Arabidopsis thaliana: one gene and its partners. The protein of the gene in region 3 interacts with the protein of the main gene of each other region in a pairwise test. Each region holds a gene or a part of one and is shown on either strand. Other genes may lie near its edges. The genes, in order: TY1, WAVH2, ADT4 and SLK2.

What was found.
Region 1: the proteins of ADT4 (region 3) and TY1 interact in a two-hybrid assay, tested with the Arabidopsis thaliana proteins (one large-scale study listed by BioGRID).
Region 2: the proteins of ADT4 (region 3) and WAVH2 interact in a two-hybrid assay, tested with the Arabidopsis thaliana proteins (one large-scale study listed by BioGRID).
Region 4: the proteins of ADT4 (region 3) and SLK2 interact in a two-hybrid assay, tested with the Arabidopsis thaliana proteins (one large-scale study listed by BioGRID).

What each region holds. Positions count from the first base shown.
Region 1 is NC_003070.9:28,811,169-28,815,100, forward strand, and holds TY1 (thioredoxin Y1), read right to left. Parts: upstream 1,997-3,932; 5' UTR 1,781-1,996; coding exon 1,595-1,780; exon of another isoform or gene 1,320-1,594; coding exon 1,231-1,319; intron 1,040-1,230; coding exon 862-1,039; intron 771-861; coding exon 705-770; 3' UTR 517-704; downstream 1-516. Other genes in the region: EC1.1 (egg cell-secreted-like protein (DUF1278)), read left to right, coding at 1-415; AT1G76770 (HSP20-like chaperones superfamily protein), read left to right, coding at 2,401-2,548, 2,624-3,210. UniProt on the Arabidopsis thaliana protein: Thiol-disulfide oxidoreductase that poorly activates chloroplastic malate dehydrogenase (NADP-MDH) and fructose-1,6-bisphosphatase. Provides reducing equivalents for peroxiredoxin Q.
Region 2 is NC_003076.8:26,259,323-26,264,714, reverse strand, and holds WAVH2 (Zinc finger (C3HC4-type RING finger) family protein), read right to left. Parts: upstream 3,580-5,392; 5' UTR 3,244-3,579; coding exon 2,842-3,243; intron 2,763-2,841; coding exon 1,011-2,762; 3' UTR 545-1,010; downstream 1-544. UniProt on the Arabidopsis thaliana protein: Probable E3 ubiquitin-protein ligase involved in the regulation of root growth. Acts as a positive regulator of root gravitropism.
Region 3 is NC_003074.8:16,269,750-16,273,934, reverse strand, and holds ADT4 (arogenate dehydratase 4), read right to left. Parts: upstream 2,425-4,185; 5' UTR 2,177-2,424; coding exon 902-2,176; 3' UTR 522-901; downstream 1-521. UniProt on the Arabidopsis thaliana protein: Converts the prephenate produced from the shikimate-chorismate pathway into phenylalanine.
Region 4 is NC_003076.8:24,934,410-24,940,812, forward strand, and holds SLK2 (SEUSS-like 2), read right to left. Parts: upstream 4,831-6,403; 5' UTR 4,511-4,830; exon of another isoform or gene 4,214-4,510; 5' UTR 4,132-4,213; coding exon 3,208-4,131; intron 3,113-3,207; coding exon 2,981-3,112; intron 2,870-2,980; coding exon 2,821-2,869; intron 2,715-2,820; coding exon 2,500-2,714; intron 2,414-2,499; coding exon 2,345-2,413; intron 2,254-2,344; coding exon 2,153-2,253; intron 1,964-2,152; coding exon 1,870-1,963; intron 1,787-1,869; coding exon 1,717-1,786; intron 1,609-1,716; coding exon 812-1,608; 3' UTR 553-811; downstream 1-552. Other genes in the region: BAG2 (BCL-2-associated athanogene 2), read left to right, coding at 6,068-6,248, 6,352-6,403. UniProt on the Arabidopsis thaliana protein: Probable transcription regulator that functions in the development of the carpel margin meristem similarly to SEUSS (SEU).

The DNA of each region.
Region 1 (3,932 bases), on a different chromosome or scaffold from region 3:
TTCCTCCACAGTGACAGCTCGCCCTCTCATGAAACCATCCATGGGGACGTCTTCTCCTACCACAAGCCTTGTGTACAGGCTCAAGCTTGATGAAGATACAGGGTACTGCTGGGACTCACTGATGCAGCTCCAACACTGTTCTGGAGAGCTGATCTTGTTCTTCCTCAACGGTGAGACTTACATTGGCCCTGGGTGTTGCAGTGCTATAAGAACCATTGGACGCAAGTGTTGGCCTACTATGATTGGTGTTCTTGGTTTTACTGCTCAAGAAGGTGATATGCTCCAAGGTTACTGTGATGGCAATGACTCTGACAACAATGGTGAAGACCATGCTCTTGCCTCCTCAACACTGCCTCTCTCCGTGAATTTCAAGACTACCGTTGTTAGATCTTCTGCTTCTCCTTCTAACCCTTGAGTCTTAGTATTCATCTTTACACTCCTGCTATGTTTTCTTTTGCTAAGAGAATTTTAATCTTTATGTAACTGGTGACGAATGCTTGAAAAATAGCGTCTCTGTTATTACTTTTGAGAATAAAAGATCATCATTACTCACAACAAGGTTTTACAAATCTGGCAAACATAATCTTCTTCTTCTCAAATTCTCCAAGTTAAATCAACCGAAAAACATCGCTATCACTAAGTCCTGAATAGGTCAGGGACAGTTGAAAAACATACAAATAATTAAAAAAGAGTTCATGATCCAACTATGGCTTCACTTTTAGAGAATCCTCAATTCGTTGAATGAGTTGTTTGGCCGTCAAAGCACCCTCCTGGAAATCACAAAAAAAGAAACGTTTGTGAGTGAGATTAAGAACCTTAAAACGAAAATGAAGAAATTCAAAGGCATTGAAGTCATCATACAAAGCGATCACAAGGTTCCCCATCTTTGAATAGGATGAAAGTAGGAAGTGCCTCAATCTTGTATTTATTAGCAATACTGGGGTATTTTTCGGTATCAATCTTCACCACCTGTATCTTGTCTTTCAGGGTTTCACTCACTTCATTGAGTATTGGAACCATGAACTGGCAAGGACCACACCTGCCAAACAAACAGTACATTCTGATTCCAAATCATCTGTTTAACAAATAAACTCGATAATAAGCAAACAGACTACACTGGATCCCAACATAGACCAAGTATACTCATTCATGATGAATAATAGTCAACTAGAACTGGTTGATGACCACTCAACTAACACATGTTATCATTTGACACCAAAACAAACTCACCAGGTTGCATAATAGTCAACTAGAACTGGTTTATCAGAGTTCACAAGCAGATCCTCAAATGAGTCAAATGTCTGCTTCTTGGCTTCAATCTGAAGTATGAACAAGAATGGTTTGTCATTTAGTTCAATCTAAATCAAGAAGTAGATAAAGGCACTCACTTTAAATCAATTCCAAACTCTAGAGAAAATCAGCTATAGAAACTAAAATAAGAAAAATTTCAAAATAGGAAAGCTATCATCAGCTCTACCATCAGAAGAAAGTTTGAAGCTTGAATTCAATAATTCATAGGGTAAAATTAAGTAAGCTAGAATTGAACAAAATATAAGCTTTGGAAAAAGATGTTTAAGCAGAGAAAGGCGATTACACGTCGAGGAGTGCATCGAGTCGTTGAAGATAAAGATGGAAACTTTAAGTCTCCGGTTCGAACCCGACGAACCGGAAACTGAAATTTGACGGCCGAGATAGAACGAGAAGCGAAAGCAGAAACACCTGACGATTCTTTCGAATTCAGCGACGGAACCGTAGAAGAAGAGAGAGAAATTGACGCCATGAAAGAATCAGAAAAAAACAAACGATCTCTTGATTCGGCGTTGGCGGTTGGTTAGGTTGATGATGACAAAAAAAGTTGGACACTTGTGGAAAAAAAACTCGAATTGACCAAAAAGAGAGAACGAACTCTGAAAGAAAATGACACAAGGTACTAGAAAGACAATGATGATCCACTACGGTCAAGTACACCGTATCTTTTTTGTTATAGGCCCACAAACATGTTCTAGGCCCACATGTTATAGGCCCGTTCCCAAACACCGATCACTCTTCAATTTAACTTTTTGCTCACAATCTTCAGGCTCAATCATATGACATGACAGATCTCATTGTAAATGCAATCGCAAAGGGTTATCATTATCAACTAGTACTATAAAGATAGCTGTTACTTCCCGCCAACGCAACTGGGACAGTTAAAACCGTTGAGGGTAACAAAAGACAAAACTCACGACTCCGTTTTTGAGTTTCCTGAAGATGGAAGTTACGAATATGTTCTTGTGGGCCTCTTCAAAGAAACGATATGAAATAGCCTAATTTAAACAAAACTAGAAAAGTGTGGACTAGAGAGAGACTTTAGCAAAAACTAAAAACAGATGTATCAAAAGAAGCTCACAACTAAAAAAGATGGAGCTTGAATTAGGTCTGAAGATCACTCGGACTAAAGACGATGTTTCTTCCTCTACAGATTTTCGGGTTGCCAGAGATTCTTTTGGTCATCGTTCACTTTCTCGAGAAACCAACTCTGTTTTCTTCCTCATTCTTCATCTCAAAGGTTCTATTCCCTCTCATATTTATTCACCTTTTTTTCTTACCTAGCATAGAGATTGAGATTGAAAACCAAATGCAGGATTTAAGAAGGATGGTATCGATATCGAGATAAACAAAGAAGGGAATCTGATTAAGATCAGCGGAAGAAAACAGGTTGAAGAGATGGTTTTGGTAAAGTGGGTGGAATGGAAAAAGGAAACAGAAATAAAGGAATTCAAAAAAGTGTTTCGGATTCCAGATATTGTAATTCTTGACAAGATCAAAGCGAGGTTTAATGAAGAAGATGGGACTTTAACTGTTACAATGCCTAAGAAAGTTAAGGGAATTACCGGTCTGAAGATCGAGGAAGAGGACGAAGAAGAGGAGATGAAAGAGCCGATAGTAGAAGAGAAAACAGAGGAGAAAACAGAACCAGAAGAAGAAATCAAAGAAGAGACAAAACCTGAGGAAGAAAACGAAGAAGCAGAAGAGCCACAGAGAGAAGAGGAAGAAGAGGTTGTTGAGGAAGGAACAAGAGATCATGAGGGGAAAAAAGAAGAAGAAATCGAAGATAAACCAAGAAAGAAGAGAAGAAAAAAGTTTCGTTTACCATGTTTTGCAGGATCCACTCTGCTTATGTCTATTATTGTTTTCATTATTCAACTGATTCAATCCAGAAATAAATGAAACCACACTCCTTAGGTTTTTAAGATAGGGTTCTTGTTGGTTTTTAAGGATAGAACCCACTTTCTTATTATCTGTTCTTCTTAGCCTTGTTCTTTAAAACAATAAAAGTCAACGTGTAATACAATCAAAATACAATCAGTATCTAAACCAAAAATTAGTAGGAGCGTATCAGCTAATAAATGGAAAGTATTTGACCCGAACCGTGTATAACGGCTAGATTATCACCGAACCTAAGGTTTGTGTTTGCTCTGGACTATAACAAACCCTAAGTGAAAAGGAAAAAAGGAAACTTGAATGTCAAACAAATAAATTTATATACCTGCGTCTCGCGTCTCCTCTCAAGTTAAAAACACAATTGCTCTGCATTTTTTTCAATTCTCTTCTTCGATTTCTGTCTGCTTCGTTTGCCTCTCTGTTCTCTTCTTCTTCCTTTTTGAGATTTCATTATTCATGTGTTGTTGCATCTGCTTGTTGGATTCACCCTAATCTTTGGTGTGATTCGTTGGTCTGGCCTAAGAACGACTCATATATACAACGGCTCTCTCTGTTCACTTAAAAAGCAACGAAGAAGACGAGAGAGATCACACACACAAGCCTCACGTCTTAATTTGTTTGCCTGCGATGATAAGATCTATCATCCACCGTAGAAACAGAGACAGAGAGAGAGATAGACGATTCGAAGGACATGTTGCCGGGATTTTAGGCTTCGAGAGTCATGATGT
Region 2 (5,392 bases), on a different chromosome or scaffold from region 3:
CCGTTTGACCATATATAGTTCGAGATTCTTTCCCTTTCATTAGTTGACATTAACATTGTCCATATGCAATATGTAACTGCGTGATGAATGATAGCTTAGTTTTTTTTTTTGTGAAAAAATAATAGCTTAGTTTTTTTAGTTATGATTTGACCATATATATAGTTCGAGATTCTTCTGCCACTGATCATTTTAGTGAATCACATCGAGAAGTGGACCTTTGACAATAGTTAATCATTTCATCCATTTTAAAAGTATACAAAATCATTGCATTCAAAACAAATTGCAACTTGGCGCTAGCTACATATAATTAGTAAATGTCTTAATGATATAAAATGAATGAATTTAAGCGAGAAGAAAGCTTTGCAACGGCGCATGACCTGGTTTCTACCACGGTGCACCCACCAAACCATTCACCAACAACCAACAAAGACAATCCCCACGCACTATTCAAATCATTCAAACCCGGTGCCTTCTATAACAAAATAGGCTATAATGATGATCACATGACTAATCATGATCATTCATTTGGAAAGATATAATATATTATAGATCCTCTTAAGTTAAACGGCATATGATAATATAAACTTAACTTTTGATTTTGAAGTCCAGCATTACAAGCACACTCTCTAATCCACTATACCTCAACTTTTAATTCTATATAGTACACAAAAAAAGCAGACTTCATTTATTTGATCTACAACTTTTTTTAACTATTCAGTCATTAATTTGGAGTTTTTGAAGATTACAAAAAGGAAGAAGAAGATAAAAATGCTAAAAGACCAATTAATTCCTTCTAATGTAGGGTCTCAATCTCTCTGCAATACAAAAGGCCACACCCGTCGGCTACTGCTTGTCGCTATCATGCACCTATGTGGGTCTTTTTCTGAATAATCATACTTCTATTATTTATACCTTACTAAATTATTGCTTATCCTCCTTATATAAATTATGTACCATTATATATTCAAAAATCATTGAAATCGAATTTTCGAAAAAAAGGGAAATTAAAATTAAAATCTGGCGTTTTCCAAGCCGTGCATATCGCTGACTCGATTTAAATGCTTCCTCATAATAGCCACTTTAGCTAATTTCTCGGCGGCTCTCCAAGCCGAAGTAGGGGTAAGCTGCTCCGGTTTATCTTCAGTTCGGTTTAATATACTATTTCTCGGTTTAATCCGGCTAAGTTCATTTAGCTCAACCTCCAAACTCCTTAAACTATCATCCGAATGAGACGCATTGGACCGAGCCGTCGTTAGAACCTGATACGCTCCGGATAAATCCTCACGCTCGATAAGCCGGCGTGAATCCGCTACAGCGCGGCACATGGAGTGTAAATTTCTCAGCCGTTCGATGCTTGAAGATACATATCTGACGGATTGTGGCCGTGGGATCAAAAATCGTTTTTCTTTAGGACATGTCATTGGCTGATGTGTCATTTGGTCAACGATCGACGACTGTACGGACATTACTTGGTGGGAACCACTCGACGAAGTCGGCACTTTGAGCTCAACGAGAAACTCTCTCTCCTCCTCCGCAAACAAATCTCCGACTTGGATGACAGAACCGGATCCGAAATTCTCGAGTCGACCGGTTAAAGAGTAAACCGATGAAATCTCAGTCAAATGAGATCCGTTGACCAAACTGAGATTTAGCTTCACGTTATGGAGAGTCACGTTGAGCAACGAAGCGATTCTTTCGGTGAACGCGTCTCGTAGCGGCGCGTGAAGCAACGCTCCAGGAGAAGCAATGTAAACGGAATGAACCGGGATCTCCGGACGAGAGAAACGCGTGGTAGACACGACGAACGGAATGCGCGTTGCGTTTAGTTTAGCTTTCAAAACTGCCTCCGGTTGATCTTGACCGTCCGATAAAACAAAGATGCTCGTTGACGGATTCTTCTCCCGCCGATCTTCAACGACTTTAACCGCTTTCTTCAACGCGTCGTTAACGCTCATTCCAACTCCGCCGGTGGTTTCCATTCCGCCGAGTGCGTCGACCATTCGCCGCGCCGATCGTCTTCCTTTCGCCGTCATTCGTCGTAACGGCATTAACCGTTTTGACCCCGTCGAGAAAACGACGATCGATAAACGATCCATTTCTCGGAGAAGAGAGATCACCGATCTCATCGCGTGTTTAACCGTTTGCAAATTAGCACCGCCGTTGCTTAAATCGAGAACCGTTACCAGATCTATCGATGGTCTTCGCGCCTTAATCGCATCGGTGATGGACGACGGCGACGGAGACGCTTTTAGTTTCATGATGACGACGTGTGTCTCCTTCTTTTTCCCGGTTTCCACAACGGCAGATTCCGGCAGCAACTTAACCTCCAGATTTCCTGAGATTGAAGGAACCATATCAGACGTAATCGAAGAATCTCGGAAGAATCCGGGGAAGTCATCGTCATCTTCAACGTCGTCGTTTTCGTCTGATTCATGTATAGTGTTGATCTGAGCAAGAGAAACCGGCGAATAAGCTAACGGCTCATCGTCGTTGTACACTCTCAGTGACTTCCCCGTTTTGATCTCTCGGATCTCGGGTCGTCTAATCGGGTCGGATCCGAAGTTATTATTAACAGCCGGATAATTCGACTTTGGCGCGTGATTCCATGCGGCAGAGCAAAACGGACAACGCTTGTCTTCTAATCCATTGACGCAAGAAAGGTGAAACGAATGTGAACACTCCGCCGTGAAAATTGCCGCCGTCGAGTTGCTTTGATTTGAATTCACTCTCTGCAAACAAATCGCACATCTACTACTATTACTCTGCATCCACACACACACAAAACGGAGCTTTAGATTATGTCTTTCAAATTAAGAACTTGATTGAATCAAAAGTAACTACCTTGTTGAGAAGAAGCGTGGCACGGAGGAGAGAGACGCCGCCGCCGCCTTGAGAGGAAGAAGAAGATGATGATTTAGGAGAAGAAGGGTTAGAGAAAAACTTGGGACTTGAGCTGTTACTAGTCCTTGGAGTAGCATTGCTCGTAGTCCTGCAATGGAGTTTGGGACTAGTTGGAAGAGATGGGATAGTGACTGATGTGGAAGCTGAGGAGCGGCATCCAGTGCCGCTTCCGCCGCGTGATCGGAGACGAGGAGTTGAAGGGTTGGATAAAAAACCAAACTTTGATCGGAATCTTGGTGTGGGAATTGGAGGATCAGTAGTGTGTAATGATGAATGTTGTTGAGGTTTATCTTGATTACTTGAAACGGAAGTGCAAAACGCTTTTCTCCAACCAAACACCATTTCCTGTGAGAAAGAAATAAGAAGAGAAGCTCTCTTTTTTTCTATATTATTCTTCTTCTTCTTCTTCTTCTATTTGTGGAAGTAATTATAGAGAAGAAGAAGAAGGACTTTGGGCATAATGGATCATAAGGAAGATGGAGAAATTAAATACTAAGATAAAGACTATAGAGAGATTTCTTTTTCTTTAGTGATGTTTCGATAAAGACATTTTTTTTTATGTTATTTTAAGTTGTAGGAATATTATAAGGTAAAAATTGTGACTTTTATGCGTGTGAATTGGCTTTTGTTTCCATTTGCATGTAATTGTTTTGCCTCGAAGAAAATAATCACTGATCCGTTAAGTCCTTCTTTTTTTTGGGTCAATTTTGCTATTTTTTTTACATATTTCAAGTGTTGTTTCATTGGGATGGACGATAAAGTTAAAAGTCAACGGTAATAACCGACCATATGCAAAATGAGATTTCAAATAACTTGAGACGCGGAGATCTTTGTTTTCCATTTGCATGTAAAATCTTTCTTTTCAAAATATTAAACAGTTTATTAGATTGTCTAATGTGGATTCCTCTTGAATGTTCCACAATGTGGTTCGATTATATAAATCATTTCCAATCTTATCGGATTCTTCGAAATGCAGATTGTGATGGAGTGTAAGGTCAAACATGTGGGCACGTGACGTTACAGTCTGAGCAATAAACGGTAAGCTTATTTTCCTTACGAAATATAAATGATACTAAAACACGTTGTATTCGAGTTATCTTCATGATTGTGAATTGAGTTGTATATTTAATTGATAGTTGCTTACGTAATTACATACTGGCTGGAGCGAGGAATTTAACCTAAAGTTTTGGGTTTGGAATTTTGTAAAAGGTCTTTGATGGAGAAAGGTCGAAAAGTTTTTTTTTTTCATTTATTTACCAACAAAATGATTTATAATATATGGTGACGACAAGAGCTAATGATATGACATAAAGATTAGACTGGTCCAGGTCCAGCAAATTTTGAATTCTTCTTGCTATTGCAAAAAAATTGATGGTTTTGGTCTGATTTTGATTTCGACACTTCTATTATTTTGATTTGACAACCTTTTAGATTGGCTGATCAAGTGCTCGAGATAATTAGTGTCCTAAATCAAAGGTATTAACTCCAAAATACAAATTACTGCAATTTGTGGCCTCTAGTATCTTGCAGTTATGCTGAAGAGCCACATGAATGAATGAAACAATAAATGGGTGGGTACATATATGATAAGGGGGCTGCTAAACAAAATTGTAGTTAAGCATTTGTAAATGGTTTGGTAGGTTTTTTAAGTGGCTGCCATTGTAGAGACAACACATGACTTCGTGCGTGCATGCCATGGAATCATTGATTATCAACCAAAAAATGAAAATATTAGTTAGTTAATCTTGTTAAGAATGTAATGACTTATATTATACGAATAGCTTTACACAAGTATATATACAAGTACAGAGGAGGTTACACTAGGGTTGTACAAATATAGAATGTTCCATAAAGGAGACAGAGGAATATTATGATATTAAAGAGAGATGATCCTATGTATCCTTAACACGCCCCCTCAAGATGGAGGGGCTATGCACACTCCAATCTTGTCTCGAAGTTCCGTGAAGTGATTTCGAGGAAGCGGTTTTGTTAATGCATCAGCGAGTTGGTCTCTAGTGTTGACGTGAGCCACACGAAGAATGCCTTGCTGAACTTGTCCACGAATAAAGTGATAGTCTATGGCTATGTGCTTCATCCTGGAATGGAAAACCGGGTTTGCGCAAAGGAAAGTAGCACCCACATTATCACAATAGACCACAGGCGGTTTGGGAAGTGTGATCCCAAGCTCCGTGAGAAGGCTGCATATCCACTGGATTTCACAAGCAGTATTTGCCACCGATCGATATTCAGCTTCTGTTGAAGACCTTGCAACGCTCTTTTGTTTCTTGGCAGTCCATGAGATTGGATTTTTCCCGAGGTAAACGATGTAAGCATTTGTTGAAACGCAATCTTCTGAGTCTCCGGCCCAATCTGCATCTGAAAAGGCATGAAGGGAGAGCTCGTTTTGAGCAGCAAAGAAAATGTCGTGAGTCGTAGTTCCAGCCAAATATCTAAGAACTCGTTTTGCAGCTTGCCAATGATCATTGGTTGG
Region 3 (4,185 bases):
ATTCAACATGTAAGTTTCTTGGAAATTATATTGCTAATTTCTTGCGACTCACCTAGAAACCAAACGTTGAACCCTTGAGTTGAGTTCACACGTGACCGGTGACCATAACTTTTTTTTTTTGTATCTACTCGTGAAAACTTCAAGGAAATCTTCACAAAATATTTTAATGATGTTGGAAATTATATCACCAACTACAATAATGGAGACTTGTTTTGTGAATATTATATAAACTTCGAACAAAATCTTTGTATTGTATATTAAATATGATAAGTTGATTTTTATTCACATTCATTTTCATTGGTTTACTTTTTTTTATCATGTAAGCGATTGTTTAATGGTATACATATGTTGTGGTTGAGCTTAGTGAACTTGAGATGAAGTCCTAACAGAAAGTTTTAGTAACAACATTATGCTGATAATTACATAAAAGAATTTGGTCTTAAGCTTTTGATATTGAAGAAAATATTAGGATCATCTCTACTAAAAATATGATTTAATAGAAATTTGTAGTAAAAATACTAATAACGTTGTTAAGATAAACAAAGTTACAAAACTGATCACATTTTTCTAAAAAATATGTGTAAATATATGTCTTTGTTTTTGGTAATGCCAATCATTTTTGCTTTTCTTGGTTAAAATCGAGTGAATTTACCAAAGAAAACCAAGGAACTCAAAAAGATTCTGCGAATAAACCACAATGTTCATAACTATTAAGTAAGAATGTAAGATATATCTGGTAGCTAGTAACAGACAAATAAAATTTTGTTTTCTCCTAATCACCACGTGAATAATGAGCTCTACATTTACGGTTTAATTTCAATGTATACTACAATTTTCACAAAAAAAGAAAGAACAGAATAATTTAATAAATTTATTGGTGAGTTTGTTTTTGGCGATGGGGTCATGCTTCTTCTGTGGATGTCATGGACCATGGTGTCATATCCATGGGGTAACTTCCCAGCACCCTTAGGAACGACGTGTACTCTTGAACCTCCGCAAGCGCGTTCTGTGCACGCGGCTCAGCCATCGATGCCTCAAAATCCACGTAAAACATGTACTCGAAGTTCTTCGACGTCCCAAAGCTCCCGTCACCAACAACCCTAAGCGGGCGGTTATGGTGAGGCCGGGACTCGATCTTGGTCAGGCTAATGTCTCTGAAAGCGAAAGCCGAGAGGACTTTAAAGAGGACGCTAGTTCCTTTGTGCTCTTGGGCAGCAAAGACGATGCTAGTCTTGAATGGCCGGTCCGTGCGTGGGATTATAGGCTCACGCGCCAACATTAGGAAACGAGTGACGTTCCCCGGGTCGTCTTGAATCCCATCCGCTAATATCTGGAGGTTGTAAAGCTCAGCGGCGCGTGCGCTCGCCACAGCCGCCGTGTCATGTAGGTCGTTAGCTGAGATATACTCCGCAGCAGCCGCTGTGTCATGGAAAGCCTCACGCGCTGCATGTGGTGTAAGGACGTCGAGGGAGTGTTCCGTCTGCGCTAGGGCTTGCGGGTGAGAGATCACCCGCGAAACACAGTCAGTTCGGACTCCCGGGAGTGCGAGGAGGCAATGGTGGACCGGAATCTGAACTTCTCCAACGATGTGAAGACGGTGACGGAGAAGAAGATCATAGTTTCGATGGATCGAACCACCGAGTGAGTTCTCCACCGGAAGCACAGCTCGATCAGCGATCCAAAGCTCCACCGCCTGAAAAGCAACGTCAAACTGGTCACAAGGAATGGCGTCGCAATTGGGATAAGCTTTTCCGGCAGCTGCTTCCGAGTAAGCTCCGGGAACGCCTTGGTAAGCTACACGTAGACTAGAACCATGCAACGGTGCCGGAGATAGATCAGTAATAGTCAACGGCTGAGCAGGAGCTAACTTTCCGTTAGTTGACTCAACGGCGACGAGACCAAGATTCACAGAGCCGTTCGTGTGACCATTAACGGCGGCGATTTTGTCCGCTAAACCACCGGTATTTTCAACAGAAGCAACTTTACTAGATAAAATGGCACATGAGCTTTGCCAATCAGATCGACTCACGGAGACACCGTTAGGGAAGCTAAACGACTCCGACCTATAACCGCACGTAACAGCCACGCGCTTTGGAATCGCGTGGGAGAAACATTTGTTCCTAGACGTCGGATCTGTTGATCGGAACTTGAGATCACACGACGTTGCGGCTTGCATGGTTTGGTAATGATGGTAAGACAAACAAAATTTGAGAATAAAAGCTGTATTATAGATTTATAGTGTTGGAAAGCTTGAGTTCTTTCGTTGAGAGAGAAGCTCAAGCTGAGAGATAAAGGAGAAGAGAGATGGTCTTATATACACACTAACACACAAGAATAAATTTTGTTTTGTTTTTGACAAAATTAGTCTTGACGTATGTAATTCGGTAAAATCCTTCACCTACCACCTTCCATGTAATTTCTATACTTTTTTTTCTTTCTGAAAACTATAATAATAGTTGTCTTTATTGAAATATATGATATTGTTGGTTTACGTGAAAGCGATATTCTTCATTTCTTCTTAGTTCTTACCATGGTTTTGTATTGTTGGTGTTACGTCCATAGATTTTTCTACAAATATCAAGATCATTGGTGTTTCTTTTGAGCAGTGGATGGTAAAATTTCTCTTAAAAAGTATTGAATATTCTATTATTATATATACATATGTATATATATATATATAGTTTTTTAATTGTTTGTTTTTCAATTAAAACTTAGTTACCTACTTCAAGAAAAATTAGATAGTTTATCCGCACTATGTGTGGGATAAATATATTATAGTAAATTTTTTATTATTTGAAATCTGAAATTTGCCTGTGTATTATTTAATGTAATATTTTTTTTTTGAACCATCTAGTTTTTGCATTAAAATTATTATTGCCCGTATATTGATTGTTATTAAATATGTATAAATATATTAGTTATTATTTTTATAATTTTCTTATTAAATTAAATTAAAATTATATTTTTAGAATCTTCTGAATATTTATAATTTACTTAAGTGTAATTGATATTATTTTTGGAAAAAACTTTATTTATAAATGTATTGGTAATATCTGATTAGAAAAATGAAAGTAGTACTATATTAATATTTTTGTTAACATATGATTTATGTTTCTATATAAAAACGAAAGTAGTTCTATATTAAGTTCTGAAATATTACTTGCTTAATTATTAGATTATTTTAATTGGAATTTCTTTTTTTAATTATTTACTACTTTTAATTGGATTTACTTTTTATTGTTTCTGTTATTGAGATATTTATATGTACTACTAATGATAAATTTTATAAATGATCTAGTAAATGAGGGACAATGAAGTAAATTGATTGAGAATTGCTCTGACACATCAGCTGGCATTTCTGTAAATACGACTGTAACTAAATTTTGTTTTTTAAGTGTGATTCTCTATTAATAATTTAATATATAGAGGATAAATGAATTCAGAAATTAATAAAAATTTTGATTACGAAAATATATAGTAGGCCCAAAGTTCACTTTCTCATATGTGGAATTTTATATGTCCACGAATAACACGGTTCAGCTCACCTTCTTTTACTTTGACACAATCGCCAAGCTGTGAGAGCATGCGCAGACCATAATGGACACATATATAGTAAATGGTTTTGTATTTATTATGATTTATGAAGTTGTTGGTCATTTTCATTTTTGACGATGTCTATTATTTGTTCGCTTTGGTGAAAATATTTGGTAATTAATTAACAAAGTGAATACTGTTTTACGAAACTCGGAAGGTGATCTATGATCTGTCATTTCGGGAGCATATATTTATATACATGATTTGTATTTGACTGATAACATATTTCAGGATCTTGGATATTGAATCCGTTTCTACTACAAAAAACCGCAAAATTGTGTGTTTTATGCCAAAATCCCTAAATTTGTGATTTTTTTACTTAAACTGTTTTCCAGTAAAAGTCGCAAACTATGTCATCCCGTAAAAAGTAACAAAATCTTGTTTCCGTAAAAAAAAAGTGTAACATTGAATTTTCCGACAGAATCATTATCTTATATTCTTTTCTGAATAATTGCTGAAAATGACCTTTTCACATTATCCTTTTTTAATTATACTCTTTCCTATTTGTCATTTTCATTTCTACCCTCTTTAAATTTTTTAATGACCATTTTACCCCTATTTGGAAATTGTTTTAGGTAAACAAAATGAAAT
Region 4 (6,403 bases), on a different chromosome or scaffold from region 3:
TGTTTCTATAGATATCTGATGTAGTTCTATGTATATGATATCATATGTTTAGATTTATCATTTATATAATGTTTTGAGTGTATATTTTGAGTGATTAATTAGATGAGTTGAGGAGACGTTTGGCATGGTCACATGGTCTAGTTAGTTCACAAGATTTACATGTGAAAGTAAATCACTCTGTTCTCTATCCACCACGCTGAGTGCAAGGTTTTTTTATTTATTTATTTTATTCTTTAGTGCAAAGCAAAAATATTTCATATACAAAATTATGTAATATATGAAATTAACTATGGTAAAAGGAGTTGACAAATTATCTCTTGTAGATAGTAGGATGGTTGGTATATTGAAGATGAAAAGTATTACTGTATTAGTGCAAGTAGATGAAGATTACATATCCGTATTTGTGGAATTTTGTATGATTTAAAATCACGTCACAAATACATTTTATTAAAATTTCAGAGAAAAAAATAGCATGTGTCTGGCTTGTTTGTGACGTGTTACCGATGTTTGTAACTGTATCAGCTTTAAATAAACGAGGCTTAAAAAAAGTCATAAGAAAAAAGGTAAAATATTGATTGATAGCGATGAGTTCCTGAAGAACAGTCTTTTTTCTTTTCCAGAATTAGTAACACTTTCCAGAAAAACCTCTTCATAAAAAGAGAAGCTTTAATCTAAGAAGAAGAAAGAACAACAACACAGTAGACACGTTAACATTGAATCCCCCTCATCAGATTCATATACCTAAGAAAGTTAGTCTTTAGTAACTCGTTCTTTACAAAGACAACATTGGAGCTAACTATCAAAATGCCTCTCATGACTTCCAAGAATATCCTCCCATGCTTTCATCAACCTCATTGCTAAAAACCCCGTTATTCCCAAAGTTGAGCGATGTATTAGAGATAATACCTTCCAGGTTTTGGCTTTGGTCTAACCCCTTGATGCCTCTGAATCTGTTGGAGGTGCTTGGTGTTTCAGCTGCTGCGGGAACATAATCTGTTCTGTTTCTTCCCATGTTGGTATTGCAATTCATCATGTTCTGACCAGAAAGTGACTGTTGTTGTTGACCGGAGCCTCCATTGCTGTTTGCCATCTGTTGCCATATTTGATGAATCATTTGTTGTTCCAATGTTTGGTTACCGCTACTACAGGAAGGTGGCTGTTGGTGGTATTGCTGGGTTGAGCCATTATAACTGGAGCTTGGCATTTGCCGCTGAGGAGATAGATGGGAAGATACACCACTTATTGATGGGCTATGCACAAAACCAGGTAACAAGGGACTAGTTCCTTGATAGCTCGGGGATGCACTCCGGTTTCTTGATGGTTCTTGCTGGATTGTGGTGTTGTTTAGGTCTGAATTCAGATGGTTTTGTTTCATGAGCATGCTCTGGTAGTTGGTAAGCGCAAAAGCGGCAGCTTGTGCAGAGCCGGGAAGAGATCCTTGACCGCTCATGTTGTTCATTGGTATGTTTATCCCGGAATTGCGCAAGGCCATTAGCTTGTTGAGACTGTTCCTATCAGGTGGAAGCCCTCGGGCAGCCGCTAGTTGCTCCATCTCCTGCATCTGAGGTTTACCAGCCTTCATTCGATATGGATAGCTCTTCAAAGCCTCTGCAAATGTTAAAAGGTAGCAAGAAAGCTTTTTATAAGCACAGCCAAGTAAAAAAAAAGCGTTTTGATGAATCTCAGGGACTCTCTGGGATTTATGTATTAACTTACCGATTGGACCCACTTTTTGGTCACGGCAAAAGTCAATCATATCTTTCATGCTGCTGACAACCTCAGAAATCTGTTTAAAGAAGATGGCAAGAGTTAAACAGTAAAAAGGAGACACGCCACCAGGAAAATGCAAGAAAGTAGGCAGAGAGATACCTGCAGACACCGAACATATCGTTTTGAGAAGCCTAAGTCATTGAGTGAATGTGACTCCAAGCTTTTTGCTAGTTGACGTCCAGCAGCCATGACCCTGGAGCAAAAGACTTGGCATCAGTACATCATATTTGTATATATTAAGCTAAAATCGCTTTGATCTTCTTTGCATCAGTGAAAAATCTTACCTAATTACCGTACAAGATGCAAGAAACAATGAAATTGAATTGATTGAGAAATATGGAAGAAAGAGAGTGAAATATTGTCTAGAATCATCAAGACTCACATGTTGCTATTAGCTTGCAAATCTTGTTGATGAATCCCATCTGATCCACTTTGATCAATTGTGCTCTGACATTTCTCTGCAACCTGAAGCAATTGGTTCACCTGCACGACCATAGGGAGCAGACATTCAAAAAATCTCAAGACCAGGGATTTCAAAAAGAGTCACAAAGATTGTAAGAACCATTAATGTTACCTGTGGAGCTACTAGGCGACGAGGAAGTAGTTCTTCATGTCGACGAGTACAGAACTCCCATGAGAGAATCTGGCAAAAGGAAAAAGGATAAGCTAAGTTACTTTAATACACATTAATGATTAAAAGTATTTGGAATCAAAAGCTCTTTAAACCACCTTCAGCTCTTGGGAGAATATAATCCGAAGATGGCCTTCGCGAACAACACGGATATGTTCGTACACACTCTCCTGAACTGCTTTTCCATACTCTAACACCATAATTCCAGATCCATATCTGCGTTCAGACGGTACACCCAGATAAAGAAGCTCGTCCAGGACACCACTTGCGAATTTGATTTCGTTAAGCCTTGGCAAGACATCAAAAGTTGCTTCTGCAGAATCCATAAGAAAAAGTTACTAAGAGAAGATGTTTTGCTACCATAAACATTTTTGAAATTTCCCTCTTCTTCATCAGGGTATAAGCAAATTGGAACTTACCAAATCCTCTTCCCGATTTAGAACCACATAGATCACACTGCCATTCATCCTGCAAATGGAAAATACAAAAAGCAAGAATAAGTAACCTATTTGTAACTACACCGTAAGATCAGCATAAAGAGTATGAAACCAAAAAAAACAAAGAGTCAGGGAAACAAACCGTGGCTGCCTGAGGAGAAACACCAAGTGCACTATGCCCCACATTATCATAATGAGAAAGACACCATCTTTTCTTTGCCCGGGGAGAAAAATACTCCGTCACAAATTTCCTCCAGTAAACAATACTGCTCTCCTACAAAATCAGCAATGACACGACTGGTATCTGTCAAGAGCTTTTTTCTAGAATACACATAAAACAAAAAATTTGACGACTACATGCACACTCACAGAAGGCCTTTGTCGCTGATGATATAGGTACTGCATCAATCTTCGAGCGCAAACGCTATTTTCATAAGGTCTTGGCCCACCGGTTAGTTGCATTTGCATTCCTTGTTGTTGCAACTGTTGCTGTTGCTGTTGGTGCTGCTGCTGCAACTGTTGCTGTTGCTGCACTTGTTGCTGCTGCTGCAGTTGAACCCGTTGCAATGGTGGGAGGGACTGGAGATATTGTTGCTGTTGCCTCAGCTTTTGTTGCTGAAGCAAGATTTGGAACTGTGGATTTTGGCCTTGTTGTTGTTGTTGCTGCTGCTGCTGCAATATATCCTGTCTCTGAAGCCACTGACGTAAAATCTGCTGCTGCAAAGCATCATCCTGCTTTGAATCTAATCTAGGTTTTTTCCGTGCTTGAGTTAAGTTGTTTGGATCCTGAAAGAACGATTCAGAAGCACGCCGAGCCATAGAAAGCGGGATTTGATTAGTTTGTGATGTAGGCAGTGATGTAGCACTAGAGCCACCTAGCTGAACACTAGGATCATGCCGTTGTACCACAGTCGACCCATCTACAACTGATGAACCAGATATGCTGATATTATTAGAAGAGAACGACATAGGAGACGCCGGTAAACGCATATATGACTCATTATTGATACTAGCACTACGCTGCAAATGAGGACCACCTCCAGAGAGCCCTGAATTAGCATCTGTGACAAGCGAACTAGCTCCTGCGCTTGGACCGGGTGTTGAAACACTCATCATAACCGGATTATGCATATCACCAGAAACCATACTGAGATTGTGATAGCCACCAGTAGGTCCACCACATCCAGGAGCAGAGTTAGATGAATTCCCATAAGAGGAAGTCAAGTGAGAGTTAATGAAGCTTTGAGATTCATCATCTCCTTGAAAGAAAATCCCAGAAGTTGAAGAAGCCATTAAAGGGTAGGTCCCAAGTGAGTCTGAAATCCAAAGTTTCTTCCTCAATGCGACACAAATGTCCCACCTTTACTACTGATACCTACAACATTATACATGTATCGATTAAAATCAGATCAATAACATTCCCTAACACATGAATCTGGTGCGTTATTAAAGATACACAGACATTGAACTTAACCACTGAAATAAAAAAAAAACCAAATCAAAACCCTAATTTTAAAGTTCGTTACTTAACATAACTAACCGAGAAACTAACCAATCCCCAAAAAAAAAAAAAATAGATAGCAATCCCTTAAAAATCTCGGAGTTAGATATTTAAAAAGCAACCGAAATTAAATTACAAAATAAAAAAGCGAAGAACACGGAAACAACGTACGAAGAACTGTTAAGTGGAGCTTCGATCAATATAGAACAAAAGCTGAGAGATCACAACTAGAAATTAAAACTAAACCCAGCTGAATTGAAACAGAAGAAGAGGAAGATAATTAATGAGACAAGAAGAAGAAGAAGAAGAAGGAAAAAAATTTGCCTGGAAATTTCAAGCTGTAATATAAAGTTAAAATAAACAATCTTCTTATTTATTTTGTGTTTGTTGTTTTTGCATAAAAAAAAGGAAAATCCTGGAGAGAGCTGGAACTAGGCAATGAACTTGACGCGCCTTTGTTAATATACCTAGAGGAAATCGTAAGAACCAAATCTGACCGGACAAGCCGGTGACCCATCTGCTTATGGTTTTGCAAGTACTTTTTATTACCCGCTAGTCAATACTGACACGTGTCTTGTTTATCGTAACAAGTATCGTATGACCGATTGGTAACCTTTAGCTGTTTTGATTGCGTGGCATATTCTTGACCTTGCGATCAATAAAGTTAAATCAATTGTGGATCGTTCGATTGAGAGCATGGATCGTGTGCGACGCGTGTAGTTTAAAGTTGATTGACCAAATTATGTTTTTTATTTTATTTTTTTGTAATAACTGTACCAATGATTGCAGCTGTAAATGAGTGGGCTTACGACAAATATCCTCTTTTTTGCATGATTACTTATTGACCCCAATATTACTCCCTTTGACAATTCAACCCCTAAAATATTTCGACAAGATCATCCAACTATATGGAGCTACGACCCAACAGGCCTATTTCAGTATTTTTAGGCCCATTATTAGCCCATAAATAATTATACTCTGTTCTCCAACCGTTCAAAGCTCTGTTCTCGAACAGTCTTGAGGTCAAACCTAACCGGTGTCTCTGTCTCTAAAGCACTAGCTTGTTCAAGAAATGATCAAAGAAAGCTCGTGTGTGGTCCGTACGGTCCATGGATCATTCAAAACTTGGCAAGAAGACACACAACACCGACGATAATTCTAGACAATGTGGATCTGCAAGAAAGAGAGATTTTTAAGTTGCAGAGTTTGTCGGAGTTAAAGGCGTGACGTGTAACACAAGTTTCTGTTTCAGTTATTTCATTAGCTTACCTGTACTTAGAAACGTAGAACACGACTTATAAAATACAGAAGAACGATGACAAATAAATATAAATGTAACAACGACATTAATATATCGTCATTATTTATCAGAAATAGAAATAAATATGTGGGGGATACAACATTTATATTAAATATATGTATCTGTGATGGACTGATAATGAGACATAACAACAATCACATTAGCTGTCACTCTTTTCTTTAACTTTTTTTTCTCATTGTATAAAATTTTATAAAACAATAATCTGCTTTATATGATTCTTATCTTTCTTCTTCTTCCACGAGTTCTGTCCAGAAACAGAAACATTAATTTATTACAAAACAAAGTGTATTTACTTCTCTTTGCTCAGACGTTTCTTTTTTCTTCTTCTTCTTCTTGATCTTTTTCAGAAATCAACTTCATCTCATCATTCCTCTGTTTTTTTCTCTCTATCTCTCTTAATAAAGAAAATGATGAAAATGAGTATCGGAACAACAACTTCCGGCGACGGTGAAATGGAGCTCCGACCTGGAGGAATGGTTGTACAGAAAAGGACGGATCATAGCTCAAGCGTGCCACGTGGCATTCGGGTTCGGGTCAAATACGGGTCGGTCCATCACGAGATCAGTATCAACTCTCAATCTACTTTCGGTAAACGACACAAAACATTCCGAGTTATACAGTATTTCCTTTATACTATTAGTATGCTCTGTTTTTGGAATTTGATTGTTGTTGTTGTTGAATTTAACAACAGGGGAATTAAAGAAGATATTGTCTGGTGCGACAGGAGTTCATCATCAAGACAT